Linked DNA regions of Arabidopsis thaliana. The protein of the gene in region 1 interacts with the protein of each later gene in a pairwise test. Each region holds a gene or a part of one and is shown on either strand. Other genes may lie near its edges. The genes, in order: NAP1;1, AT5G10400 and HON4.

Region 1 (10,873 bases):
AAATATCAAACCTTCACGGATAAAGAGATCTCGAAATATTCTTTTCAGATAAGCGTAATCTGGTTTATCATCAAACCGAAGCGACCGACAGTAGTGGAAATAGGATGCAAATTCGGATGGGTAACCACGACATAAAGCCTGCAGGTGTAAGGCGATCATATACGAATCAGAATGAGGGAAACAAAAATCTGAGTAAAAATGTAGCATACTTGTGAAATGAACTTACCTCAATGGATGTAGAAACTTTCTTTTCACTAATCCTTTCATACTTTTGCTTTTTGGTTCCAGCTTTCAGTCCTTGCCATGGAAGACTAAAACAGAGATATTCCACACATCAATCAAACTGAAGAAGTTAGGGAAATAAAGTGAAGAGAGTGTGAGGCATGTAGCATAAACTCACCTTCCTTTGAGGAAATACATAAGGATGTAACCAAGAGACTCAAGATCATCCCTTCGACTTTGTTCTTCAGGTTCGCAATGCCAGAAAACAAATAACAGCTGATGAGTATCAAACCTTATAACTCAAACACATAAGGAGAGTGACTGGAACAAATTAACATGAAGCAGGTCTTGTCGAGCTTACCAATTCCCAAGTGAGTGTTCATACTAGCATATCTCGCAGTTCCTGTCAGGTTTTTATTTTCCCTGCAAATGAGAATCATGGGAAAAATTAGCGTTTCCAGTCATCACATAACAACGGAATCATGCTCAAGGGAAGAACATTCAAGAGCTGATACAATGATCGCCTCACCTGTAGGGAATGTGCTGATGTGTTGTACTATCCCTATACTTCTTAGCAAGACCAAAGTCAATGATGTATACCTTAGAGAAGGATTAAACTTGGTCAATACAATGATGTCTCCAAAAGTAAAATAAGACCAAAAGGATATAGTTAAGACAATAAGATGATAAACCTGGTTCGCACGCCTTCCAAGGCCCATGAGGAAGTTGTCTGGCTTAAGATCTCGGTGAAGGAAAGACTTTGAATGAAAAAACTCAACACGGTTGATCTTATCACAAAAACCAAAGGAAGAAAGAAGTCAATATTTCCTGAAACATAGAGGAGCAAATGAAAGAAAGGCGTCACATGAAGAAGTATACCATTTGATCAGCAAGCATGAGGACAGACTTCAATGAAAGTTTCCTGCTACAAAAATTGAAGAGATCTTCAAGACTTGGTCCGAGTAGATCCATCACCAAAACATTATAGTCCCCTTCAACACCAAACCATTTGACATTTGGAACACCAGCTACCAAAGTTAAGGCAAAAGAAAGGTCATAAGTAACACAAACTTTACATTATCAGAAATCAATATCTCATTCAGAAGATAAGAATCATTACTTCCCCCTTGTAGAATCCTGTATAACTTCGATTCATAGAGCAGCTGTGGATGTTTTGTCTTCACATTTTCCTGGGAAAACAAAAACAAAGAGAATCAAAATCTCAGCTTTTCAACATACTGAACTTGATCAAACTAAACATATTGTGATAATGTTACTTATAAATCCATAAACTTTTTGATCATCAAATTATTAAAATGGGATGACTGAAGAACTCACAAGCTTAATAGCCAGTTCTTCATTCGTATGAATATTAGTACCTGGAAAATCACAGGTTAACAACAATGTTAGAGATAATGTGACGAATTCGATAATCCATAAAATTAAAAACTAGAAAGTGAGAGAGAGACGAACCGAGATAGATCTCTCCAAACGAACCACTACCGATCTTTCGGCCGAGACGAAACTTGTTCCCCACACGAGGTTCCATAAATAACCACGAAACCCCTTGTACAATCTTAACAACCCAGACGCAGATTCAAATAGAGCGAAAGGGACCCCAAAAACAATCCTGACTAGAATCAGCCGCACCAGCAATCCAGAAAAACAACCCAGAGATCACGAACAATGAGATTACGGATTTTTCGCCGACTAAATCAAAACCCAGTAATCATCTTCTTCGTGCTCTCGATCTGGTGAAAAAACTCCATATGAACAGAATGTCGTTTTCTGGGATGCTTCTCTCTCTCTCTCTCCTCTCAAGAATTGAATACGAAGATAAAAAAAAAAAAAAAAAAAAAGAGCTTCGATGGACAGAAAACGATGAGGATGTCTTTCTCAAAGTTTGCGTCTTTTTTTTTTTCCTCTTTCCTTGCAGTTGCGGGTAATGTAAAAAAATTATTTACCTCTGAATGATTCCGGTTTTGTTGCTGTGTGCTATGTTCGGTTTGGTTTCTATGCTTCGGTTCAACCAAACAATCTAATGATTATGGCAAGCAGAATAGTAAAATAGAAAAAATGTGTAAAACATCTATAGAACACATATGTATATACATGCTGAGCATCTTTAAATCCACAAAAATACTACTATTTGAGCCGAATCTACCAACTAAACTAAACCTGGTTTTAAAATTATCCGGTTTATTTGAGAGTTTCAACAACAAGCGCGCTTAGACCATCATTATTCATAGTTTATAAGGTTAGTTCTTAGATAAAGTAGGTCTTAAATTTAATGTTATAATTCAATTAATTGTTAAAAATGACTCTTATATAAGAGCCAAATCTAATGTTTCTTAGGTTAATTCTTAGATAAATTAGGTATTAAATATAATGTTTTAATTCAATTAATCTTAATTCTTAGATAAATTAAGTATTAAATCTAATTGTTTGTCATATTTGTTTAAAATTTTATGTTATGTATGTTTCAAATTTTTTGAGTTGTAATAATTATTAAGTTTTTTAAAATTATAATGTTTCTACTTTTTTTCCAATTTTTTTTTTAAGAACTCAAGTTAAGAGTCCACCATTGCATATTGCCAAAATTTCAATCTCTTAACTAAATTCTTAACTTCAAAATTTTCAAAATCAATTATAAAAATATTCATAAGAACTATTAAGATTATGCTAAGAAACTACTATTAATGATACTCTTATGATGGCTATATGATATAAAAAGATTGACCACTTACCAGGTGTGTTTGCTACGCGTGACTTGAAAGCTCTACAAAATGTTTCTCTTAAGTGGGAGTCGTGGAGGTACAAAAAGCTTTTCACCTTTGCTTTTAATAGGATGAATGAAATGATTTACAGTTATCTGATTAGGTTGAATTTGTCTCATGGTTTTCTGGTTAAAAAAAAATGCTACGCGTGAGGCTTCTTTATTGTGTTTCTGGTCAGACGTATAAAAGGTTGAAACTTCAAATTGAAAATGTCGTGATGAGCTAATCTAGATTAGAGTACGTTTAATTCGTTTGAACTCGGGATGAGCTTAAACCAAACTAAAGATCTTTGTGCCTTTTGGGATATGACTTTTTGTTGTGGACTGTTTTTTTGTTTTTGTTGTGGACTGTTTTTTGTTTTTAATTAGTATGTACAGTGTATGTGAACAAAAGAAGTAATCAGTGTATTGGGCTTGGAAGGCTCATTCTTGGGATGGGCCTTAGTACTAACAGATTCAGAAATCTTCTATTTGATCCCATTAAAGTTCACTAACCTGTACTGTATTTGGTGAAGAATCAAATATATATAAGTGTATATATATATATATAAGTATATAGATAATTAATATAATTACATGCAAAATTTTAATTATATAGATAATTAAAGTTTATATATTAGTTATATATATTTATAATTGATTGAATTCATAAATAAACTTTAATTATCTATATATAAGTCAGTTCTCATTATCCATATATATATGTATGTAAAGTTTTGCATGTTATTTAATTCAATAAACTTAATTTTGCTTTTTAAAACATTAAACATCAATTTTTAGAGAAAGAAAAGTATATATAAAAAGAGAAAAAACTAAAATGGCATTTGTTATAATTTTGGTGTGAAAAGGAGGGAGAGAAAAAAACAAAAAAACAAAGAGGATTTAAGGGTTACGAGTCGCCTCCCCAAAACCCTTGTCCCTAGTCTCTTCTGCTTCTTCTTCTTCAAAATCTCTCTCTTCACCAAATCCTCAGAAGATGAGCAACGACAAGGATAGCTTCAACGTCTCCGATCTTACTGCTGGTAAAATACTCCTACTCACGATTACTCTTATCTCTTTCTCCGCCTCTTAAGCCAGAGCTGCTTTAACCCTAATTTCCTCTGTTATCTGACTGGTGTTCCTTTTGTTTACTGTTTTTTTGCAGCTCTTAAGGACGAGGATCGAGCTGGCCTTGTCAATGCTCTAAAGGTGAGTTTTTTTCCCCTTCTGTAAACTGTCCCGTGAGCATTTGCTATTGAAAGATATGGAGGATGTTGAGTTACTTTCCTCTGATTGTTTAGATACTATAAGCCGTGTCTTGGTGTTTAGTGTTTTGGTTTCAATGTCATTCTTCTAGTACAATGATAGTTTATGAGTTGTTAATACATTGTTATTAATTCACAGAACAAGCTGCAGAATCTGGCTGGTCAGCGTTCTGATGTGCTCGAGAATCTGACTCCCAATGTGAGAAAGCGCGTTGATGCCTTGAGGGATATACAGGTTAGCGAAATTTCTTTCACATTTTACCAAACTATGTGTGCTATATATCGTTTAATGGGGTTTGTTTTGTTTTGTGTGAGTTTTCTCCCTGCTTATCTGAATTTAAAGTTTCAAAAGTAAGGTGTTGCGTTTTGATTACTGATGACTTCTTTCCACGCAGAGCCAACATGATGAACTAGAGGCAAAATTCCGTGAGGAGAGAGCTATTCTTGAAGCCAAGTATCAAACGCTGTATCAGCCTTTGTATGTCAAGGTAATTGTTAATGAGAAAGTTTTACAAACCATTTTACTAAACTCAATGTAGATCTGTGTATACTCTTTTTGCTTATGTTTACTTATCTGCAGCAGTGTTAGTTTTCTATGTGCATCTTAATGAATTCTACTTGGTATCTTGTAATGGCACAGCGTTATGAGATTGTGAATGGCACTACTGAAGTTGAACTGGCTCCAGAGGATGATACCAAGGTGGACCAAGGAGAGGAGAAAACTGCAGAAGGTAACTTCATGAGCACTATGTCTTCTTTGTTTGTTGTTAATCTTTTTGGAAAGACAAAAACAATTTAACATTTTTCTCTGTTTTTCATTGCAGAGAAAGGAGTTCCAAGTTTCTGGCTGACAGCTCTGAAAAATAACGATGTTATTTCCGAGGAGGTAGCCTATATGCAGTTTTGGTGTTCGTTTTATAAACACTCCAATCATAACCATGGAATATGAGCATAACTTATTGTCATTTATGTCAGGTCACAGAGCGTGATGAAGGGGCTCTCAAATATCTTAAAGATATTAAGTGGTGCAAGATTGAAGAGCCTAAAGGATTCAAACTTGAGTTTTTCTTTGACACGAATCCGTATTTTAAGAACACTGTCTTGACAAAGTCTTATCATATGATTGATGAAGATGAGCCACTGCTTGAGAAGGCTATGGGGTAACTACTTATACTCTCTTGCAATTGTTGTATACTTTTAAGTATATTCTGCTTATTAGCTGATTGCATTGAGCTGCTTATTTTTTTTCTTCGCTTATATTGCAAATGGATTCTTATTCTTTCACCATTCATTTTCAGGACAGAAATTGATTGGTATCCTGGAAAGTGTCTAACTCAGAAGATTCTCAAGAAGAAGCCTAAGAAAGGTTCAAAGAATACTAAACCAATCACCAAACTCGAAGATTGTGAAAGCTTCTTCAACTTCTTTAGTCCTCCAGAAGTTCCGGATGAAGATGAAGATATCGACGAGGAAAGAGTAAGATAACGATTGTTAGAAAAACCTGTCATCATTTAGTTAATGTATTTAGTAACTCTTTCTCGTTCTTTGATGCAGGCTGAGGATCTTCAAAACCTGATGGAACAAGATTATGACATCGGGTTCGTCTTTTTCTAAACACACTTTCTCTGTTGATTTTATGGGTTTGCTTTTGAGTCATGGGACTACTTTATCACTGCAATCAAGGTGGTTACCCTTTCATTATTATCTGATCACAAGTACTTTTTACTTTCTGCAGATCTACTATTCGGGAAAAGATTATTCCTCGTGCTGTCTCATGGTTTACTGGTGAGGCTATGGAAGCAGAGGATTTTGAAATAGATGACGATGAGGAAGATGACATTGATGAGGATGAAGATGAGGAAGACGAAGAGGATGAGGAGGACGATGATGATGAGGATGAAGAAGAAAGCAAGACCAAAAAGAAGGTATAAAGTGCCCCAAGTATAGTTGTTTCTTTTTTTTTTTTTTTTCTTCATGCCACGTTAGTTTTTTACTAATCCTTTGAAATCGCTTAATATTTTTTTTTGCAGCCATCAATCGGCAACAAGGTATGTAACCTTTCAGAACTAAAGTTTATTTGATTTTGGAACTCCAACATTCAAATAACCAAACACAAGAAGTTTCAGGCTGAGCATTGTGATGAAAATAGAAATTAATATCGGAAATGTAGGCTCTAGAGGCCCATGAATCATACAGATTGCTGAAAGTAACTGAGCAATCCTAAAAAGTATGAATCAGTAAATAGGTAGTTACGTAGAAGACTCTGAGAAGGATACATGAATGACACAGCAGAGACTAAACAAGCTCTTTAATCATGGCATGGGCAGTACGAGATAGAACCATTCTCATGAATTCATTTTATTACTATAGTAGCAAACTAGCAATCAGTGTCTATGTTTGTGATAAATGTGAGAATCATCTGCTTAATTTTTTTTTCCTCTTGGACTGCAGAAGGGAGGGAGATCTCAGATAGTTGGTGAAGGTAAACAAGATGAGAGGCCACCCGAATGCAAGCAACAGTAATCTTTTACTACGCTCTACCAGACATAAAAGGATTGCGTGAAAATATAATTCAGGTCATTCTCTGTTCATCAAGAATGAGGATTGAGAAAAGGTTTTGGGATTTTTAAAAGTGAAATTCATCTTGTAGGAGTTTCGTTCGTTTTTCTATTGGTGTGTTTATTTTCTCTAAAGCACTTTAATAATATACCTTGGTATTTAATTTATGAATCAAGCATCATCATCCCTAGTCTCTGCATTCACTACTTCATCCCCTACCTAAACTTTGTCGACGAAAGAGATTTTAATAACCATTTAGATAGTAATGGGTAGTGGGAATGATCATTATTCTTTTGTTCACCGTCCTTTGATTTTCAATGGTAACCATTTTGTTGTGTAAGACTACAAAAGATGAATAATTGGACTATGACCATATTATATTAGTCAAGTCTAAATCGGTCGAAATCAGTTCACCTTTAAGATGAGTAATTTGACTAAATGCCTCCGCTTGTTCAACACTAATTATAATTTAAATTATTGTAGAAGGAAAACACAAAGAAAGTGAGGTTCCGAACATCCACAATTTGGACTAATCACATACTACTTAAGAAGTTTAATGCATCATTAGAGCTAAATGAGGGGAAAAAAAAGCTAGCTAAATAAACTTGAGACACTTGTTTGTGTTTGGTGTTATGAAAAACAAACTCAAAAGTCGCAACACTGTTTGGTAAATTGGAGACATGCGAAGAGGGGACCGCTTCGTTACCATTCAGAGTATTTGACGTAATATATTCCGTTTTAAGAAACCTATCTAGTTTCCAAGAAATTTACTAATAAAGGTGCTTGAGAAAGACCGTTGTTGATGATACGTTTTTTTATTTGCTAATGAAACGATTCGGTCGTTGTTTCTTGAAATTCCACTGTTATTAGACTCTTGACTCTGTTTTGTTTCCCGCCGATCTCGTGATGATGGCCACCACCACCACCACCACCACCGCTAGATTCTCTGATTCATACGAGTTCAGCAACACAAGCGGCAATAGCTTCTTCGCCGCCGAGTCATCTCTTGATTATCCGACGGAATTTCTCACGCCACCGGAGGTATCAGCTCTTAAACTTCTGTCTAACTGCCTCGAGTCTGTTTTCGACTCGCCGGAGACGTTCTACAGCGATGCTAAGCTAGTTCTCGCCGGCGGCCGGGAAGTTTCTTTTCACCGTTGTATTCTTTCCGCGAGAATTCCTGTCTTCAAAAGCGCTTTAGCCACCGTGAAGGAACAAAAATCCTCCACCACCGTGAAGCTCCAGCTGAAAGAGATCGCCAGAGATTACGAAGTCGGCTTTGACTCGGTTGTGGCGGTTTTGGCGTATGTTTACAGCGGCAGAGTGAGGTCCCCGCCGAAGGGAGCTTCTGCTTGCGTAGACGACGATTGTTGCCACGTGGCTTGCCGGTCAAAGGTGGATTTCATGGTGGAGGTTCTTTATCTGTCTTTCGTTTTCCAGATTCAAGAATTAGTTACTCTGTATGAGGTAAAACACAATCCACTAAATTCTCATTGACTCATAACATCATCTTAAGTCTCCTCTGTTTTCATTTCAGAGGCAGTTCTTGGAAATTGTAGACAAAGTTGTAGTCGAAGACATCTTGGTTATATTCAAGCTTGATACTCTATGTGGTACAACATACAAGAAGCTTTTGGATAGATGCATAGAAATTATCGTGAAGTCTGATATAGAACTAGTTAGTCTTGAGAAGTCTTTACCTCAACACATTTTCAAGCAAATCATAGACATCCGCGAAGCGCTCTGTCTAGAGCCACCTAAACTAGAAAGGCATGTCAAGAACATATACAAGGCGCTAGACTCAGATGATGTTGAGCTTGTCAAGATGCTTTTGCTAGAAGGACACACCAATCTCGATGAGGCGTATGCTCTTCATTTTGCTATCGCTCACTGCGCTGTGAAGACCGCGTATGATCTCCTCGAGCTTGAGCTTGCGGATGTTAACCTTAGAAATCCGAGGGGATACACTGTGCTTCATGTTGCTGCGATGCGGAAGGAGCCGAAGTTGATAATATCTTTGTTAATGAAAGGGGCAAATATTTTAGACACAACATTGGATGGTAGAACCGCTTTAGTGATTGTAAAACGACTCACTAAAGCGGATGACTACAAAACTAGTACGGAGGACGGTACGCCTTCTCTGAAAGGCGGATTATGCATAGAGGTACTTGAGCATGAACAAAAACTAGAATATTTGTCGCCTATAGAGGCTTCACTTTCTCTTCCAGTAACTCCAGAGGAGTTGAGGATGAGGTTGCTCTATTATGAAAACCGAGGTATGCTTTCTTCCTTCACTTGAATATCGAATTTCGGGTAGGAAAATGAGTGGAACTAATGATAACGATGGTCTATACTTTTCAGTTGCACTTGCTCGACTTCTCTTTCCAGTGGAAACTGAAACTGTACAGGGTATTGCCAAATTGGAGGAAACATGCGAGTTTACAGCTTCTAGTCTCGAGCCTGATCATCACATTGGTGAAAAGCGGACATCACTAGACCTAAATATGGCGCCGTTCCAAATCCATGAGAAGCATTTGAGTAGACTAAGAGCACTTTGTAAAACCGGTATGGATTGATTCTTATATGTCATCTCTTTTCTAGCCAACAAAGAAATGATGTTTAGAACTTTATTTTGTTGTATCTTCAGTGGAACTGGGGAAACGCTACTTCAAACGATGTTCGCTTGATCACTTTATGGATACTGAGGACTTGAATCATCTTGCTAGCGTAGAAGAAGATACTCCTGAGAAACGGCTACAAAAGAAGCAAAGGTACATGGAACTACAAGAGACTCTGATGAAGACCTTTAGTGAGGACAAGGAGGAATGTGGAAAGTCTTCCACACCGAAACCAACCTCTGCGGTGAGGTCTAATAGAAAACTCTCTCACCGGCGCCTAAAAGTGGACAAACGGGATTTTTTGAAACGACCTTACGGGAACGGGGATTAAGGAATGGGAAATCATATTCCATTTCACTCCCACAACTAAAAATGATGTATGTCCTATATCATGATGTTTCGTGAGTTTCAAATAAATTGAAACGTACATATATCAGTTTTTCATCTACGTGACTGCGTTGTATAGTTTTCGTTCTTCACTTAGCATCATGTGTATTCTAGCTCCAAGTGCGTTTCAAACAAATATAGTTATTTTTAGCCAATTATATATACGGTTGTGATCAGCTTGTTCACTCAAGAGATTATTTTAGTGGTGATCTTTCATTTCCTTCTAATAAATGACGACTTTGTTCATAAAGTTTGAGTGTTAATGAGAAAAAGGCTTCATGTGTTTTAAAAATCTAAATAGCATAATGTATGTTAAACTCCTACAATTACTTTCGAGGCTGGTCATTCCTTCAGAATATCATCGGACCATTCCTCTGTTCGACCACAAAACCGAATAAGACAAAACTATATGAGACTCTCTAACTCAGAGAGAGACTCTCTAACTCAGAGATTCTCTAACTCAGAGAGAGACTCGACCCATGTGACACTCACGTGACTTTTAAATTCCCTTCCCGTGAAGTGATCCGTGAACCCCATTCTTCAAAACTTAGGACAGAGACAAAACCCTTTAACGGGTTCTAACTATGGTCTATGGCTGCAACTACCGACAGCCGAATGCAAGGAGCATCAAGTACAACTGATTTTGAATCTCAGAGAGAAAAGACAGTGTCACTTTTCTATTTGACACTTGTCAATTTTCTATTTGAAATTAAATTAGGGTTTGGATAGTACTCCTTTCACACTGGAATGAAGTTTTAACAAAGATTTTCCACACAAAAAAAAAGCATTGGTGGGGAACCGGTGACGGAGTACCTTCCTGTGTCGGGCTTTAACAACCAATATTTTTTGCAAATTAGATTGCCCAGCCATCTAGGTCACACACCATCAAATGTCATGAATGATATATTGTCGTGAAGCTATGATTATCTTTAGCTTATTTACTCTATTATCTTGTACGTTCATACAACCATTCATATATAATCTTTCTCAAAGAAAAAAAAAAAGATAAAGGAGGCATGTCACCTGAAACATATTGGTCATAGCATAATTTGCATTGTTAGAAAACA
Region 2 (8,552 bases), on another chromosome or scaffold:
GCAAGCTAGCTCTCTATGAAGTCTTTGTTAATCGAAACCTAAACAAGATTTGTTCTTTTTAAAAGTCTAAAAGCTTAGGAATCCTAAAACATTGATAGAAAAACCAGTGAAAATGTAAAAAAAAATTTTTTACATAAACCTAATGATTTTTATAATTTATATTTTTTAAATTTTCAGCTGCATGATCACTGAAGCTAGCTACTATTGTTTGCTGATTTTCAATCTATATAATTAGGTGATTGCAATTTCAGCTGGAGTGTCACTTGCGGTTCATATTCTCGTGTGTTGGTTCTTCGTCTATGGTTATAAACTCGGAATCATAGGGACTATGGCTAGTGTGAACGTGCCATGGTGGTTGAACATCTTCATCTTATTTTTGTACAGCACACGTGGTGGTTGTACACTCACTTGGACCGGCTTCTCCTCAGAAGCTTTCACCGGACTTTTAGAATTAACAAAACTCTCTGCCTCTTCCGGAATCATGCTTTGGTACCATTCGTCGAACAAATACCCACTTCTTTCACATTATGTTAAAGTTTAGTCATATATGAGTTCTTACAATATATCTTGCCCCGATACAGCTTAGAGAATTGGTACTATAAAATACTAATGCTGATGACCGGGAACCTAGTAAATGCGAAAATTGCTGTGGACTCCTTATCAATATGGTACGTTGTTTTATTTATTTCTTATAATCGTTATGCCATATTTTTCTTGTTGTTGTTTGTGTTTTTTGTTGGAAAACTCTTATATTTTTTTTACAAAGAAATAGACGTCGTTTTTTACTGTTAACGTACTGAACTTAATTCTCTGTGCAGCATGTCGGTAAATGGTTGGGAGATGATGATTCCACTTGCCTTCTTCGCGGGAACCGGGTAAAAAAATCCTATTCGGTTGCTAAGTTTAGAGTTTTTTTTTGTTGGTATGGATGTTAAGTTTAGAGTTACGTACGTAGGGATTGGATTGATGATAGTTATCTAATATCTATCTACTCCATCAAGGACAATAACATGGCCTAATGCTACAAACTTTTTCGCACAACAATTTGCAACAATCTTGTTATCATCACAATTTCACACACTCACAGTTTTCCTTTTTCTTTAATGTATTCGTTTTAGCAAATATTAAAGTCTACATGTAATCTAAGTTCATAAACCGGGATTATATGCACACATAAACGTCTCCAACGTAGTTATTAAACAAATAATACCTATTTTGTAGAGTTCGAGTGGCAAACGAACTAGGAGCTGGTAATGGCAAAGGGGCAAGATTTGCAACGATTGTTTCAATCACACTATCGTTAATGATTGGATTATTCTTCACAGTCATCATTGTAATTTTTCACGACCAAATCGGCTCGATCTTTTCGTCAAGTGAAGCTGTCCTAAACGCAGTCGATAATCTTTCTGTTCTCTTAGCCTTCACGGTTCTTCTCAATAGTGTGCAACCAGTTCTTTCCGGTACGCCTTGAAACTGATTTCATAAACCAGGTCAACGAAAGTGCGTTGACTTTTGACATTTGATTAAGGTGTTGCTGTTGGTTCGGGTTGGCAATCGTACGTGGCATATATTAATTTGGGATGTTACTACCTTATCGGGCTTCCGTTTGGGCTTACTATGGGCTGGATTTTCAAATTTGGAGTCAAGGTTTGCCCAATTTTCCTCTCAACAAATGTCGGCATATTATTATGTCGGCAAATTATGTTTCTTTTGATGTTCATATTTGTGGAGATGAACTAACATATGTGTATGGATGATAGGGAATATGGGCCGGTATGATATTTGGAGGAACCGCAATTCAAACGTTGATATTGATTATCATCACTACAAGATGTGACTGGGACAATGAGGTAACCATTTGGAGTATATTACAAAATATCACTTTCATCTAAAATTTTAGTAAATTTTGTCATAGTTAGTACATTACTTTTTAACTTGATATAAGAATTTTTGAGTGACTGTTTACAGTGTACAATCTTAAAACATTGCAGGCACATAAATCAAGTGTGCGCATTAAAAAATGGTTGGTCTCGGACGCAGGAAACTGAAGATGCTATTTTAGTTGTCAAATAAAATTATTTTGGAGCATCCGTTTCGTAAATCTAAATCCTATTTATTGCATAAAACACATAGCTTATGGTTTCAATATCACATGATTAGTTGATTGAAATGGGCTAAACCGGAGGAGGGATTGATTTGCTTTCTTTATAAATAACAGAAAAAATAATTATGCACACTTTCACTTCATATAATTCATAAAAGGTTTATTTACATACGGAATCACTTCTTCTTTGTCTTTATGAAATAAGGATTCAAACATAATTAGAAGAAAAAAAACGAGATAACCCATTCTCAAGAGTCAAGACAAAAACCAAATTAAATCGTAAAGCTGGTATTTATGTACGTATAGTGAGAAGTCTACCATGTGTAAACCGGATCTTGCTTCACCTAACTGAACCAACCAGACCGAATTATTCGTCAATCCGTTGGAGTCGTCAAATGTTACCCATCCGGAATCCAATGTAACTTCATGTGTTAATGTCTCAGAAATCAGAATCGTCGAATGTTACCCATTCGGGTTGAACCGAACCAACCAATTCAATCATCTCCTCATCGTCCTTAACCGTAGTCTGAACCAAACCGGCCAATTCAATCATCTGCTTATTGTTTTTCTTTTCTGTTTCAGCCTTCAACATCTCAACCAAACACCAAAAATCATCCGCTAGACGTCTGCAACGCCAAAATAATCCACTCAAGCTCTCCTTGCATTCTACAAGTCTCACCAAAAGCAGACTAAAATCGTTCAGACCGAGATCACCAATAGGTTTAACACCCGGTTTAATCAATCGTTCAAACAACACCTGAAGCCGTACCATAACCAATCTCACAATCTTGAAATAGTCTTCAATCACTAGCTCTCTAATCTCGTCCACGATCTTGTTTTGGAACATAGGCGGAATCTCAGGTCTGGTACATATATGCTCAAAAAAACTCACAAGAGAATCCGTTTGTCTTATAATATACCCGGTTTGGTAAGACGAAACACGATCTTTCTCTTCAACTTTATCTTTTGGATTCACCAACAAATTTGGAAAAGATCCTAATACCTTCGGAACCCACGAGAGACGATCCAAGTATTGTCCATACCTAAGTTACATTTTTTTTTTAAAAATGTCGGTATGAACATGTCCAAATTATTAGATAAATATCACAATCAAAAAAGAGAACTAAAAAATCTTTTTAAAAGAAGAAGTAAATTACCATCTAATCCACTGAGACAATTCTAGCGTGAGATTAGAAGATTTGTCTGAAAACTCGTTCAACTTTAGATTGTTTCGACCATGACCTAGTCCTTCAAACTTGTCTCTTGATGATTTGATAAGCTTGTGGATGACGATGAGAGACTTGGTGGCCACAATAGCGTTCTTCGTGACACGTAACCTCCACAGAGCCGCTGAGAAAGCCGCCGGAGCGTAACGGCTGTTGGAGTAAGAGATAACAGCGGAGACATAGTCACTGTTTGGTGGTTTGTTAGGAGTACGAGTTGTTGACTTCAAGAGGGCTAAGTGAATGTATTTGACGGCGGTGGACCCGAAACTATGAACCAATCTTGCTTTGCCTATCGAAGCTTTGTCTTTGAATTTTCCGATTATGTGAGTTTTGAGTCCTGGCATTATCTCGATGGAACTAGATGAAAAAAAAATTGAAGCTGTTTTGCTTTGTGAGGTTGGAATTTGATTTTTATAAGCGTCCAATGTTTGATTCGCTTTCCATTTTCTTATAGTTTCCTTTTAAATCTTTTTTATATACGTGAGTTTCCTTTTGCAATCATTCAAAATTAACATTATTTTTTTGGTCGACATCCAAATTTGATTAATTTTACTTTTCTCAACTATTAATTTGGTAATATATCTTTTCATTCTAAAGTCGTCGTTCATTCATTTTATAAAACTTATATTAAACATGACGAGTTCATATTCAACCTCATAAGACCAATAAAATGTTGTTATTTGTTAAATAAAATGTTGATAGGAATGTTATAGAATAAGTCTGGCAACTACTTTGTTATTTCTATTACATATATAGTTTATTTGTATTGACTATTGACTTTACACCAATGTTTTTTTTATTTGTATTGTAAATGAATAAGTTTACCAATGTTATATTTAACGAATAGGTTTACCAGTATTGTCATTTATCTAGTATCTAATTAAAGATTAGAAAAGTCAATACAAATTAACTATATAAGTAATAGTAATAACAACCACACTGCAGCCACCAGCAAATTCCATTAACAAAATAAAGATCTCGAAAATTTGAACACCAATTTACGATTTTTTAACGTCAACATGAATGATATATTCATAAAAATGTGTTGAGAACAAATTTGGTCAAGTCAAGCTTTAGATCCGTAAGAATAATTGATTCATGGCTTCTTCCGCATAAACACATAAATCAAATTGTATATGTGAATTTCGGCATTGACAATTTTGGTAACATATGACGTGGATGCTGAGAAAGTAATTCTTATTGGTTATTAACACAGGACGCGGATCGTAAAGATACAAACATTTCTAACCGTTGATAAGCCAAACAGATCTAACGGACAAAACACAATCACTTCCTCTCTACCTTTGAGTATAAAAAAGCCTCACAACATCACTCACTTTCCCATCGATCGCATTCTCACCGAATCAAATCCAAAAGAGCAAATTTACAATCTTGCGAACTCCTAAAATGGCTCGTACCAAGCAAACAGCTCGTAAATCCACCGGAGGAAAGGCACCAAGGAAGCAACTCGCGACCAAAGCTGCGAGGAAATCAGCTCCAGCCACCGGAGGAGTGAAGAAGCCACACAGATTCCGTCCAGGAACGGTGGCGTTGAGAGAAATCAGGAAGTATCAGAAGAGTACTGAGCTTTTGATCCGTAAGCTTCCGTTCCAGAGATTGGTTCGTGAGATTGCTCAAGATTTCAAGACGGATCTGAGGTTCCAGAGCAGTGCCGTCGCAGCTCTTCAGGAAGCAGCTGAGGCTTATCTTGTTGGGCTCTTTGAAGATACTAATCTCTGTGCGATTCATGCTAAGAGGGTTACGATTATGCCTAAGGATATCCAGCTTGCGAGGAGAATCAGAGGAGAGAGGGCTTAAGTGAACGAAGATGATGAAGATTAAGAAGACTAGTCGTTTAGTTATGGATTAGCTTGTTTGGTTTCAATGGATATGTAAAGCTGTCTCTTTTCGTTTTCGAGTGTTATTAGTTTTTTACTTAGATGTGTCTTCCAGATGTTCGATGAAATGCCTAAAGGAAATTTTAATCTACTGTTGTCTAATCTTTTGATTCGTTCTGTCGATCTCCATATTTCTGCCACGCTTAAGAATCGTTTATCAACGGAAGAGTTAATTTTTTGCTCGATGAAATTGTCCAAATTGATTTGCAATAGTAGCTGCTTAGGGATTCTCAGTCTTCTTCTCCATGAACAAAACATTCTACAAATTCTTATTTAGAACTAAATCATTCACTAAACGTAAGAAAAGTATCGGTTCTTTACAAAATCAAAGTGAGAATTCGCAGATTGTTCTATTCCTGGTTATACCATCACAGTAAGAAATCCTCCAAATTATTTTACTTAATGCGTAGATTTGCTGAATAAGAGTAATGTAATTTCTCGAAATTTGTAACTTCAGGCTAAATTTGTTATGTAAATTTTGAAATAATTTCATCCTTATTTTCTACGATTGAATTTTTTTGAGACCCTTCATAGCCAAAATTTTCGATTTGGCGCCTAAAATTAAAAGATTTGGAAGTAGCGCAAAAGCCTACGTGGACTGAAAAGGATGATTTAAATTGGTTGATAGTAAATGACACGGATGGCCGGAATTTTAGTCTATTTTAATTCGTTGATAAGGTCTCACACGGATTTATACCTGATGATCTCAGCCGTTGATTGAAATATTTAATCCAACGGACAAGAATACAACTTTCCCTCCAAAAACAAAACTCCCTCCCATGTTTTTTTCACCTCACCGCCAAATTTCTCTCCCCATAAAAGCAGTCCCTCTTCTGCGTTGATCTTCACTACAAAATTTCTCATTCGCATCCTCCACAAGAAGAAAATTCGATCGGTCGATTAGTCTTTGTTTGATTTCGAAATGGCTCGTACTAAGCAAACCGCGAGGAAATCCACAGGAGGCAAAGCACCAAGAAAGCAACTCGCAACCAAGGCGGCAAGGAAATCTGCTCCGGCCACCGGAGGAGTGAAGAAGCCGCATAGATTCCGTCCAGGAACTGTTGCCTTGAGAGAGATCAGGAAGTATCAGAAGAGCACTGAGCTTCTGATCCGTAAGCTTCCTTTCCAGCGTCTGGTTCGTGAGATAGCTCAGGATTTCAAGACGGATCTGAGGTTTCAGAGCAGTGCTGTTGCTGCTTTACAAGAGGCTGCTGAGGCTTACCTTGTTGGTTTGTTTGAAGACACTAATCTTTGCGCCATTCACGCTAAGAGGGTCACCATCATGCCTAAGGATATCCAGCTCGCGAGGAGAATCAGAGGAGAAAGAGCTTGAAGACTGTTGTTATGGTTTATATCTTTTGATTTAGTTCGTCAATGGAACTCTATTTCTGGATTTTGATTTGCGTTTTAGTAGTAATGGGTTCTTGTAAGTGTTGAGCTTTGGCTCGTTTTAATTTTCAGTTGTTAGGTACTTTGGTTTAGTTAGCCTTGAAGTGTTCGATGAAATACCCCAACGAAACTCTCTCCTGTTTAATAGAACTTATTTTCCTTAATTTCTTTGGTTTTGCTGCTCGTTGATCATATAATATTGAAACATTGAAAGTTTCGATTTATTTCAGATACTGTATATAACACACTAGATATTACATTAAGCTTCAATGTAGTTACACCAATTAACTGGTGTTACCAGTTACGGATGGCATTTGGTTTTGTGGAATCGGTTGTTCGTTCCTTACTCTTCTTGATGATGAGAACAAGTTAGCACTGAAGCTGGTATAGAACTGTCTTCCACTTCTAGTAGCATTGTTAATACCATCGCAAAGTGATAAGCTTCCTCCAATTGAAAACGATCTTCTCACGTTTTCTACTCTTCCTGAGCCACAGTAGTTTGCCAAATCACTTTGTGCCCTTGGAAGAAAAATGTTATGGTTTCTTCTAGATCTGGAACTGTCTTGTCTTCCACGGAGGTCATTGCTCGATTCAGAATCTGGTTGATGATTCGTCTCTGTTTCTTGATGAGGTGGTTCAGTGATAAGAAGTACAGGGGCACGACATAAAGGACAGTTCTTGTGAGAGAGCAACCAAGTGTCGATGCAATTTAGATGAAAGGCATGGCTACACTTTGGTAACAGTCTCAGCGACTCGTCTTCTTCAAACTCGTTTAAGCAGACAGAGCATTCTGTGCCGTCGATTATCCCTTCTCCCTTTTTGAATCCAACGACTGTGATCGAGTTGATCGCGGAACGGTGGAGACCGACGGTTGGGATTTGCCAAACGTGATGAAAGTCGGAGAAATCTCTCTCCTCTGTTTCGTCCTCATCTTCCTGTTGGTTTGTGTCACCGGGAGTTACGCTGGCGGCTGAAATCCGCCGTTGTTGCGTGATGTGGAGGTAGAGGAAGAAGACTAGAAATAGAAAGAGTATGATTGAGCCGACGACGCAGATCGAGGTGGGGAGTAGGAGAGAGAGCTCCCTCGGTGGCGGTGGTGGTGGTGGCGGGGGAGGGTATTGCCGGAAACAAAAGCGTAAATCTTTAAACTGTAGACATGAAAGAAGCATTTTTCTGTGATTAAACGCCATTGTAGGAGTTCAGAGACGACATAAACAGAGCAAAAACAGAGGACTTTACTTTCAGACACAACTAGTAGAAAACAGAACAAGAACAGGGGAAAATGGGTATGACACACAATTCCAAGTTTTTGCTTCTGATGAAAGCAAAAAGAAATAGGACACTAAAACCCACAAAATGGGTTAGAATCTAGACAAGAGTCATGACCCAAAAAATCTTCGTGAGGAAATAAGTGGGTACACAGCCACACACATCACAATCTACAAGACTAGGAATTAGAGAGGATTTGTCCTTTTTAAGGGTTGGAAAGTGGGTGGAAATTTCCTGAAAGTGATAACGCCATTAAAGGCGATGTCTCTGTATGTTAGGAAGTAGTTTCCTTTCAACTTAGTAAACTCTCTGTAGACATTTACGCGTAATCAGTCATGTAGCGAGTCAAGTAAGTCTTTCATTTACAACAATCTTAATTTATTTGGCATCCGGTTTAGATTATGATCGGTTTTTTCAGTTGGTTAAAGAAGGTATAACTACCGAACTACACTATCTTCACATATGTACACATTAAGCATACCAGATGTTACAGAATATAGATACATAGGTCCGGTCTAGTCGGGCTGGGCAACGGGGTCCTCTGGGACACCTTACTCGACTAATCCGATTCCACCATGAATTGTCCTTAAATGGGCATAACAAGGTTCTTCTTGAGTGAAGACGTCTAAGCAGGTCCAACAAATGTGCTTTCCACACCGGCACTTC
Region 3 (10,741 bases), on another chromosome or scaffold:
TTTCTGAAAAATGATAAAATCTCATAGTTTTTGAAATATGATTGGCTTACAACTGAATTGTGTATCACTTAATCAATCTTTCTATTTTTTGTTTTAAAGAAATTACGATAATCATTCATAATTTCATATGATCAAAATTATGGCTTTCTTCAAACGTCAAGTACTTTTTCTGAGTTGCAAGCTTGTTATCATACGTGATTTCGCACGCACTCTGAATCATTACGTTTCTTTTTAACAGAGATATTTTCAAGCATGATTTTTTTTCTTTTCACACTTTTATATTCTATTTATTAGGTAAATTCATAAGAATAAATGAAAGATTTTGGTGGAAAAATAATCACATTGAGTGAACTTAACTAATATACAAAATAAATATAAAAAATTGATTAAAAAGAACTCTGGGCTTATATAAATCAGACTTTGGCCCAATGAAATCGGATTAGGCCCAAACAAGCTATAAATGTCTTGTCGTATAAAAACCGGTTTTGAAAGAGAGAAACAGAGATTGCTACGAAAGTTATGTTCTTCGTCACTCGTCTGCGACTACGAGCCAGAGAAAATGGCTTCTTCTTCTCTAAATCCCTCTCTTTCTCATCTGCCTCCGTATTGAAATCTGATGATGTCGAAGGAGAAGATGATGCAATAGAAGCAGAAGATCGTCGACGCAGTGTAACCGATAGAGCTTACTGGAGAAGACGGATACACAGTATCTGCGCCGTACGGAGGAATCCTGACGAAGCTCTTCGGATTCTAGACGGACTCTGCCTCCGTGGGTATCGTCCTGATTCGCTTAACCTCAGCAGTGTGATCCACTCTCTTTGTGACGCCGGACGATTTGACGAAGCTCACCGTCGGTTTTTACTCTTCCTCGCTTCAGGTTTTATCCCAGACGAGCGAACCTGCAACGTTATCATCGCAAGATTGTTATATTCGAGATCTCCGGTGAGTACGTTGGGAGTTATACACCGTTTGATCGGTTTCAAGAAGGAGTTTGTGCCATCGTTGACGAATTACAACCGTTTGATGAATCAGTTGTGTACGATCTATAGAGTAATCGATGCGCATAAGCTAGTATTCGATATGAGAAACAGAGGGCATCTCCCAGATGTTGTGACTTTCACAACTTTAATCGGTGGTTACTGTGAGATTCGAGAACTGGAAGTTGCTCATAAAGTGTTCGACGAAATGCGTGTGTGTGGCATAAGGCCTAATTCTCTCACATTGAGTGTTCTTATTGGTGGGTTTTTGAAAATGAGAGATGTTGAAACAGGACGGAAGCTGATGAAGGAACTATGGGAATACATGAAGAATGAGACTGATACATCAATGAAAGCAGCAGCTTTTGCGAATCTCGTTGATTCTATGTGCAGGGAAGGGTATTTCAATGATATTTTTGAGATTGCAGAGAACATGTCACTATGCGAGTCTGTGAACGTTGAATTTGCTTACGGGCATATGATAGATTCCTTGTGTCGATACAGGAGAAACCATGGAGCAGCGAGGATTGTTTATATAATGAAGAGTAAAGGGTTAAAACCGAGAAGAACGTCATACAATGCTATAATTCATGGCTTGTGCAAGGATGGTGGGTGTATGAGGGCTTATCAGTTGCTAGAAGAGGGATCTGAATTTGAGTTTTTTCCGTCTGAGTATACTTATAAGCTCCTAATGGAGAGTCTATGCAAGGAACTGGACACGGGTAAAGCCAGGAATGTTCTAGAGCTGATGTTGAGAAAAGAAGGAGCAGATAGAACTCGAATCTATAATATTTATCTACGCGGTCTCTGCGTGATGGATAACCCGACTGAGATCCTGAACGTACTGGTCAGTATGCTTCAGGGAGACTGCAGGCCTGATGAGTATACACTTAACACAGTTATTAATGGATTATGCAAGATGGGCAGGGTGGACGATGCCATGAAAGTTCTTGATGATATGATGACAGGGAAGTTCTGTGCACCAGATGCTGTGACTTTAAATACTGTTATGTGTGGCTTGCTCGCTCAAGGAAGAGCAGAAGAAGCTCTGGATGTGTTGAATCGCGTTATGCCGGAGAACAAGATTAAGCCAGGTGTTGTTGCATACAATGCTGTTATACGTGGGTTGTTCAAGCTCCACAAGGGAGATGAAGCTATGTCTGTGTTTGGTCAGCTGGAAAAGGCGAGTGTGACTGCGGATAGCACTACATATGCAATAATCATTGACGGGTTGTGTGTGACTAATAAGGTGGATATGGCGAAGAAGTTCTGGGATGATGTGATATGGCCATCAGGCAGACATGATGCGTTTGTGTATGCAGCATTTCTGAAAGGGCTTTGTCAGTCTGGTTATCTAAGTGATGCTTGCCATTTCCTATATGACCTGGCAGATTCTGGAGCAATCCCTAATGTTGTGTGCTATAATACTGTGATTGCTGAGTGTAGCAGAAGTGGGTTAAAGAGAGAAGCGTACCAGATTTTGGAGGAGATGAGGAAGAACGGTCAGGCTCCTGATGCTGTTACATGGCGGATACTCGATAAACTACATGATTCTATGGATCTAACTGTGGAAAGAGAGTTAATTTCAAACCCTGCAACCTCAGGATAGACTGTTTCAAAAGCAATAAAATTCATGTTTTGGGGCTCAAGGATCTTGCATTTTGATATCACGATCACTGGTAAACGTAAAAAAGTGGGCTTGTTTGTTTCTCTGTGAAATTTTTGCTGGCAAATTCAAAAGTTCAGTGAGCTATTAGCAGAATTGAAGACAACATTTAAGAGCGAGGAAAAGAAACATAGACATTTCTACAGAAACAGAGTGGAGCTAGTAGTGCAAATGGTCCTCCAGATACATCAATCCAGACAGCTATTTTGAGATGTACAAGAAAAGCAAACAGACTGATAAAATCTACTATTATCTAAGATAGTGAAAACAGATGATTTTCCACAAAATGCATGTTGTGGAAATCATGGTTTTAACTAGTTCCACCGGTTTGCTGATGAGCCTGAGACTCCCAGAAGAGTCTGACAGTGGAATAGATAAGAGAGGGCTCAGCCATAGCTCCATTACCGTAGTCTCCACAGGCAAGTCTCTTCTTGATAGGAGGAATAAGTGTGATTCCCAGTTCATCAAGAGACAAAAGATGCCTTTCAGTGAAAGGATTGTTCCACATCAAAGTATTCATAGCTGGAGCAACAAACAGTGGTTTGGTATAGTCCCAAGCTCGTATAATGCAAGTCAGAAGATTATCACAAAGCCCACCAGCAATCTACAAAGGTACAACAAAAATATATTGTATGAATTGAATCCTCCATGAATGTTTTCACAAGTCACACAATTGAATCTAAGTAGTTGGTTTAGGGTTTTCGTCGATTTGTTAAATTACCTTGCCTAAGGTGTTAGCAGACAAAGGAGCAATGACTAAAACATCAGCCCAACGTCTAAGCTCGATGTGAAGGACAGGATCACCGATCTTGTTCCAGCTAGACCATTCATCTTCATCAGTATACAGAGTCACTTCTTGTGGGAGAGAGAGTTTATCGAGGAAATGTAGAGATGATTTCGTAACGACGGCTCTGACTTCTGCCCATTCGGTGAAGCAATGGCAGAGATTGCCGAATTTGATAGCAGCGACGCTTCCACTTGCAGCGAGTAGTACACGAGGCTTCCTCGGTGTGGTATTCACTTCCATGTCTTGTCTGTCTCTTTTCCCATTCTCCATAGCTCTTTTACACCTTCAGAGATCTAGCAAAGTAGCCAATGGTTCGGCGAAGAACCCTAACCGAAAAATTGATCTGGTCGAAGAGAATATCAAAATGTTTTAGAGGGAAGAGAAAGAGAGAGGCCCGAGAGGACAATCATTTTAGTTGCTGGTCAAATGGGCCATTGACTCACTCTTTTTTAGGCCTCGGTCGTATGGGCTGTGAATATCGATATATTTCATTTTATATTTACTTCGTTTGGACTGCAATTTCGATTCTGAGTTCGACTGTTGTGTTAACTCTAACATGTTTTCGAGTCAAAGTTATATAGCTTTTTGAGCCAACGTGAGATGGAAATGAAGATATTATTAGTAAGAAATTAAGTAAGAGTCGACCTGCTAAAACCGTTGGGTGGAAAATAGACACGAAAACATCTCCACAATGTGCAAAGCGGAAGCAGAGAGCAGAAGACAGATTGAAAAAAACAAAGGCACAGACGCAATAAGAGATTATTAAAGATGGAAGACTAGAAACATCGCTAATTTACAGCCACGTCTTATGGTTTGGTTAAAGACACACCGACAACAACACCATTAACGAGTCTACTATTTCTTCTTCTGCAGACAACAAAACCTAGAAAAATTAAAATTCCTTATAGATTTTTATATAATTTAAGATGCGATTCCAACACCTAAAACAACTAAAAAAAAACACTCCTAACGCCAAACACCAAGGCTATTATGTCTAGGTTGTTTTCTAGATCATTATTATTCTTCAGAACAGAGCTTCTTGCATTGCCTCTGCTTCTGTCTGGGTCTGTGTTTCTCCTTCTCTTTCTTGTCCTTCTTCTTGTCCTCCTTGTGTCTCAGCAGCTTCAGTTTGTTGAGCTTCAGTCTGTGGTGCTGCAGTCTCCTCTGGCTGCACTTCTTCCATAACTTGTGGCTCAACGGTCTCCGTCACTGTTAGTGCTTCCAGATCTTTTATGGCTTGCACCACTGCTTGATTCTCACTTGTAACTCCATCCTTCAACACCTTCACAATTTCTTTCACTTTCTCTTGCTGAAATCATTTACATACAAAAACCAAACATAAGCAAGTAGAATCGAATACTTTAATCAAATAAAGGACAGCCAAACTGTTTATTGTCAACAAGTAGACTTACAAAAATATCAAACTTCTTCTTGAGTTCTCCAGAATCTTGTGTCCCAGTCGTGACTGATGTTCCAATCTAGGTTCATGAACCAAAAAATAAAATTGTTGGATAAAAGTATAACATATTCAAGAAAGACATTAATGGTTAAATTAAGAAGTCTTACTTTAGATCCAATTGAACACGTTACTAGTAAAATAGAAGATACAGAGAAGAAGACACTATGTGATGACTTAGAAACCATTAAGCCGGATTAACACACTAATTGATGATAAAATTATTCCTAGCTATAGCGATACATTACCGACTATTTTGGTCTTAATTATCCAAACGAAAATTAAAATAAAACAGAGAAACCAGATAAGGATAAGCCAAAAGTAAGGGACACGAAAATATAATAAAAACACTAGATACTAGTCAGATTTTGGATACGCGAAAACAGACAACAATGCTCAAAAGCGGAAAGTGACATTGAGTTTGAATTCCACAATGATTGCAACACAAGTATCAAACTTTATCAATCTAAATTGACGGCGGAGCAGTGAACAATCATGCACAGTAAACGTCAGATATTGCAAAATCGAGATCACGAATACAGAATTGGGGGATGTGAAAATTTACCTTTCTGGGTCTACCTACAGGACGTCCTCGTCCTCTCTTAGGCTTCATAATAAGCCTACTGATAACACCACCAATCTTAGGTGGTCGTCCACGTCCACGCTTCATCCCTGGCGCAACCGCTGCCACATTTTCACCACCTACTGGAGCAACACTAACAATACTGCTAGGGTCAACAACTCTCCTAGGCCTTCCTCTGCGTCTAGCACCATTAGCAACATAAGGATACACAGAGGCAGTAGAAGAAACGGATTTGGGCTTCCTCTGTCTCCCAGCAGCTCGACGACCCGGTGGTCTACCTCTACGTTTCATAATTCCAGCCATAACCGAAGCTTGAACGATTGGTGCAGTAGCAGGAGCAGCAGAACCGTTCTTCCTTGGACGACCAGGTCCTCTCTTCGCCGACTCTGTAACCGGAGTCGGAACCGGAACAGGTGATTGAACTTGCTGCTGTTCCCAGATTGGCTGTCCGTTAGCCTGGACTTGATTGGTCGGTGGAAGTTGCTGTAGTGGTTGTGGTTGAGATTCAGGTTTAGGCTTAGGAGGACGACCACGACCTCGTTTCAGAGGCTGAGAAGCAGAGCCAGAAGCCATGGGATCGTTGTTACTTGAATGGAGAATCTCAGATCTGGGAACATCGAGACCTTGAGCGGCGGCAGCAGCAGCAACAGCTACACTAGCAGGAGGAGTAGAAGAACCAGCAATTTTGTAAGATTTCTTAACCATAGAAAGAACACCACTGGTCTTCAAAGTCTTGAGATGGTGAGTCAACAAAGCAGCATGAGCAGAAGTTAAACCGGTGTAACATCTCTCGATGTATCTCGAAATTGCCATCTTGCTCGAACCATCCGGTTCGTTTAACGCCGCAATCGCAGCGCAAATCATCTACACACAGAAAAAAAAAATTAGTAACAAAAAAAAAAGTAACTGAATTTAGTTATAAAGGAAGAGGCTTTTAAGATTGAACTTACTTCGGAGTAAGGAGGGTGGGGCATTGAAACATGTGGAGATAACTGAAACATCTGCGGTTGCGGGATTTGCGTTTGCGTTTGCGGCTGCGGTTGGAAGACGACATGGTTATTGTACGGATTTGGTCCTAAAGGATGATGATTGGAGGTGGGAAAATGAGGAAAAGGGGTGAACTGAGGAGGATGATGAGGATCACCAAGAGATGGATCCATGGATGTGAGATTTTTGCAGAGCAAAGAGAAGAGAAGATACAGTAAAAAAAAAAAAAAGAACAAAAAAAAAAAAGACAGAGGTGGAAGGTGAGATTTAGATTTAGGGTTTTTTTTTCTTTTTTTTTGTTTTTTGCTCTGAGAGCTCTTTTGATTTTTTTGTTTTTGTGAAAATAAAATTTTTGTGAGAGAAATAAATAAAGTTAGGTTGGGGAGAGAGAGGCGGAGGAGTAGAGACGAAAGGATGAGAAGAAAGATTACTATTAAATCTAACCGTTGATTTGTTTTCTATCGACGGTTTTGACGAGGATCGATGACGTGTCATATCATTTTGTCTTTTATTTTAAGGATTTTGTGTTTCTTTACTTTGATTTTTTTCATTTTTGCCTCTTAGAATTTTGCTACATTTTCGCTCCAATGTAATAAAAAATCACCAAAATTTTAAAAATGGACCGCCAAAATTTTAAATTATTTTTCTGAAAAGAACTCCTCGCTTTCAGTGTAAAACAATTTTGTTGATTTTAGAATAACATCGAATGAAGTATATAGCAAACACTGTTACATTAAGTAACCCATGTAACAAACTCCATTAAAGAGTGTATGATAAGTAAGAGATGTATTGAGATGAGTATGGCAAAACAAATGCAATTACTAACTTCTATGTCCTCTGTTTAGGATTTGAAATCGATACATTTACATAAAATTTAGTTTCAAATTTATATTTTCTGTGAATTTTGTTAGAGTATATATCTATTTGCGACCCTTTAACTTAATCACAAAATGATACATCAAATATGTTTTTCATTAAGGAAAAATTACAAGACATTAAAATATTTTTAAACAGTAATGTATGATATTTACATTTGAATTAAATTTTAACTTTAGTTGCATTTTAACAAAATATTTGATATATATATATATATATATCTATATATATATATATAAATGTACGACGTAAAACAAAAATAACAAATAAATGTAAACCTCTTATTATAGATGATGAAAGATAACTTTATGAAAAAAATAAAATATGGAAAAATATATTTACCAAGTGCTAAATACATTTTTCTTTTGTCTTGTATCACAAATAAGCGTGATATATTTAAAAGAATAATTGAAATATTAAATGATGAAAGATAAGTTTTAAAATTTTCAAAATATGGAAAAACATGCAATTAGTAAGTATTGATTGCAAATTTTAATTTGTTTTGTACAAAGAAGCGTTATTTATTTAAACATTATAATAAAAATGATAAATAGTGAACGATGAATTTAAGAAAATTTAAAATATGAAAAACTAGAATTTATAATTGTTTAATGCAAAATTTATAACAAACAAGCATTTTTAACGGGTAATGTAAAGGATACAAAGTGAGCGATAATTTTAAAGATATTTAGTGGTTTTACATATAGTTAATGTTTTTTTTTTTTTTTTAGAAGAACTTTTTTTTTCATTTGACATTTTAATATTGTTTAATGAACTTTTGTGTATTATATGTGTGGATTCAAAAGGGTAGTTGGATAGATTTCACCATTTGAATTTTGAAGTAGCAAATCTCAAATAAAATCAATGGGACTAAGAACAATTGATAAATCTATGGGGGAACAAGTGTCACACCTATCTCCTTGGTAAAGCCAGCCCATACATCACGGTACCCAAAAAGAATCATCCAACAAGAGAATTGTTGGTACATATTACTGACATTACAATACGATATTATAAAGAGTACAGTACGTTTATGCTTATGCATTAAGCGCAAGTAAAACCCGATATATGCTCATCATTCAAACTCCAAGTATCACCTGAGTCGTGTCGTTTTCATACAACAATTTATGTATGCTCATTCTTTTAATACTAATATATCTGTGTTGTGATGTGTGCATGCGTGTGCTCGAATACTTTCAAGCAAGGGTCAAACAAAGTGCGGCTGGTAATAGACGATCAGAAGACACAATCACCAGACACCAAGTAAGCAGATGACAAAAGACGATCACCACACCAGAATTCCAACAAAACAAAAGATTATGATATGTTTTGTCGCCTCTGATATGTCACACTACACAGTACACACAACCTCTTATAAACAACACTTTTAACGGGCCGAATTATCAGCCTTCAATATAATGTTTACTTATGTGATGGACCTCAACATTACATGGGCCTATCTGTTGCATAATTAACAGTTTTAAGACCCTTTTATTTTTCTCTCGAATTTGAAATGATTTGTTTATGTTTTTTATTTAAATGTTTTTGCATATTTGGTTGGGTCCTCTCGAGTCACACACGACCGGAGACGTGCATTAGAAGAGTTACAGAGCAGACATTTGCTGGCATCTTACAATTATCTCAAACATAACCTTCTTTTATTATTAGGCTATTGGCCCTACCCACCACCACCATTTTTATTTTCTTTTTCTCAAACACGCTTTTTGAATTTCAATATTATATACTGTCCTTATCAAAAAATAGTTATACGATTTGTTAATTTTGTTAGCCTAATTTTTCCTAATCTGGTTATGTCACGGACGCAAGTTAAATTCATCTGCGGTGTTTTTAGGTGTTATAAAGCCATGTGAATGAAGTTAATTAAAAAAAAAGCAATGTAAATAGTCAAACATGCCCTTTAAGAAAAAGAGAAACACACGCTTCACGTGAGTCGCACGTGCCAAACCCACCTTTCATCTTCTTCTTCTTCTTCTTCTTCTATCTTCCGCATCCTTCGGACAAGAGAACCAAACCAGCCAACAAAAAATAATAGTAATGGAGAGTCGAATTAGAAAGAGAGAAGCACGCCATACCTGAGAGATTCGTGCGTCGACGACGTGAAAATCATTATTATTTACTAATAATAATTGTTATTGTCAATCGATGATAATTAAATTAAAATTAGTTTAAAAGTGGTGGTGGAGGTGTTTGATGGGTGCTAGTCACAGCACCAACGTTAATAATCATCCTCATTCTCGGAATGCTTCTAATCATCCTCTGACCAACAGTAACAGCACCAGCTCTCGTCACTCTGCTTCATCAAGTGATCGCTTATCTGTTAGTAATTTACGGTCTCAGCTCACAACTATTTACAGAAATCAGGAAGAAGAGGAAGAAGAAGAAGAAGAAGAAGAAGAGGAAGAAGAAGGAGGAAAAGAGAAAAGAGCAGAAGAAGAAGCGAAAAGTTTCTCCCTTGTTAGAGATTTTGATTTGTCTGGTTTGAACTGCATTAGGGTTTCTAGAAGGAATTATATTCTCATGGATCCTCATAAAAAGGTTCGTTTTTGTTCTCTATGTAAACGTTTTGGGTATTGCTTGCTCATATGGATCTGTCGTTTCATTTATCTGTTTGATTTCTCCAGATTTAGAATTGATTTTTGGACCTCGTAGGTTTTGTTGCCTTTTGTGATTATGAGTTTCTGTTTAATTTCTCCAACTACATTGGACGGGGAACTGTAGCAAATCATTGTTTAATTACTGGGTTTTAGTTATTAGATTGAAAAGGTCAACACTTTTTGTGATTCTTATCCAAAATTTCTGGTGTTTATTTGCTTGGGAAATGGTGGAAAATGCAAAGCCATCTCTGATCATTTGGATCTTTTATGTGGATTTGGTTGCTTCATGTTCATGATTTTGCATTTTTCGCCTCGGCTTTATGCCCTCTGGAATTATCTTACTCTGTGGCAACTTACCTTATATACGTGATCTGAATTTTTTTTTAGAAGTAGTAGAAATGCTACATTGTTCATTTGGTTTCTTCTTGATTATGTTTCCTTTGCATCGGCTCTTAACTGGTTTATGATTCCGTATAGTCTCACCCTGAATCTATGGTACCTTATAAAGTCTAGAAGATACATATGATCTGTAGAGTTTGGAGAACTAGGCAAAATTCTTCTCAGTTTTCATATCTTTCTATCTAAAATCTGTTTTGGTATATAATGCTACTATTTTAGGTTGCACTGGAGACTGAGTTCTTTACAGAATACGGTGAAGCTAGCCGATACCAAATCCAAGAAGTTATAGGGAAAGGAAGTTACGGTGTTGTGGCATCTGCAATCGACACACATTCAGGCGAAAAGGTTGCCATTAAGAAAATCAATGATGTGTTTGAGCACGTCTCTGATGCAAC

Evidence for each region.
Region 2: the proteins of NAP1;1 (region 1) and AT5G10400 interact in a protein complementation assay, tested with the Arabidopsis thaliana proteins (one study listed by BioGRID).
Region 3: the proteins of NAP1;1 (region 1) and HON4 interact in a two-hybrid assay, tested with the Arabidopsis thaliana proteins (one study listed by BioGRID).

The regions. Positions count from the first base shown.
Region 1 is NC_003075.7:13,228,738-13,239,610, forward strand, and holds NAP1;1 (nucleosome assembly protein1;1), read left to right. Parts: upstream 1-3,830; 5' UTR 3,831-3,974; coding exon 3,975-4,020; intron 4,021-4,142; coding exon 4,143-4,186; intron 4,187-4,381; coding exon 4,382-4,477; intron 4,478-4,637; coding exon 4,638-4,730; intron 4,731-4,882; coding exon 4,883-4,973; intron 4,974-5,066; coding exon 5,067-5,128; intron 5,129-5,217; coding exon 5,218-5,402; intron 5,403-5,540; coding exon 5,541-5,718; intron 5,719-5,796; coding exon 5,797-5,840; intron 5,841-5,977; coding exon 5,978-6,167; intron 6,168-6,272; coding exon 6,273-6,290; coding exon of another isoform or gene 6,291-6,323; exon of another isoform or gene 6,324-6,693; coding exon 6,694-6,765; 3' UTR 6,766-7,171; downstream 7,172-10,873. Other genes in the region: CK1 (casein kinase 1), read right to left, coding at 12-138, 227-311, 401-464, 584-645, 752-822, 915-1,010, 1,102-1,250, 1,343-1,412 and 2 more; AT4G26120 (Ankyrin repeat family protein / BTB/POZ domain-containing protein), read left to right, coding at 7,708-8,268, 8,339-9,077, 9,163-9,366, 9,449-9,750. UniProt on the Arabidopsis thaliana protein: May modulate chromatin structure by regulation of nucleosome assembly/disassembly. Contributes to the regulation of cell proliferation and cell expansion. May function in nucleotide excision repair (NER). Involved in somatic homologous recombination.
Region 2 is NC_003076.8:3,267,074-3,275,625, reverse strand, and holds AT5G10400 (Histone superfamily protein), read left to right. Parts: upstream 1-4,668; 5' UTR 4,669-4,737; coding exon 4,738-5,148; 3' UTR 5,149-5,454; downstream 5,455-8,552. Other genes in the region: AT5G10420 (MATE efflux family protein), read left to right, coding at 236-489, 582-668, 819-875, 1,222-1,460, 1,529-1,647, 1,761-1,850, 1,992-2,048; AT5G10410 (ENTH/ANTH/VHS superfamily protein), read right to left, coding at 2,544-3,147, 3,262-3,674; AT5G10390 (Histone superfamily protein), read left to right, coding at 6,151-6,561; RING1 (RING/U-box superfamily protein), read right to left, coding at 6,902-7,807; AT5G10370 (helicase domain-containing protein / IBR domain-containing protein / zinc finger protein-like protein), read right to left, coding at 8,438-8,552. UniProt on the Arabidopsis thaliana protein: Core component of nucleosome. Nucleosomes wrap and compact DNA into chromatin, limiting DNA accessibility to the cellular machineries which require DNA as a template.
Region 3 is NC_003074.8:6,164,930-6,175,670, forward strand, and holds HON4 (winged-helix DNA-binding transcription factor family protein), read right to left. Parts: upstream 7,077-10,741; 5' UTR 6,630-7,076; coding exon 6,420-6,629; intron 6,334-6,419; coding exon 5,452-6,333; coding exon of another isoform or gene 5,380-5,451; exon of another isoform or gene 4,997-5,379; intron 4,909-4,996; coding exon 4,843-4,908; intron 4,740-4,842; coding exon 4,455-4,739; 3' UTR 4,034-4,454; downstream 1-4,033. Other genes in the region: AT3G18020 (Pentatricopeptide repeat (PPR) superfamily protein), read left to right, coding at 520-2,586; HAL3A (HAL3-like protein A), read right to left, coding at 2,954-3,247, 3,365-3,700; MPK9 (MAP kinase 9), read left to right, coding at 9,544-9,888, 10,566-10,741.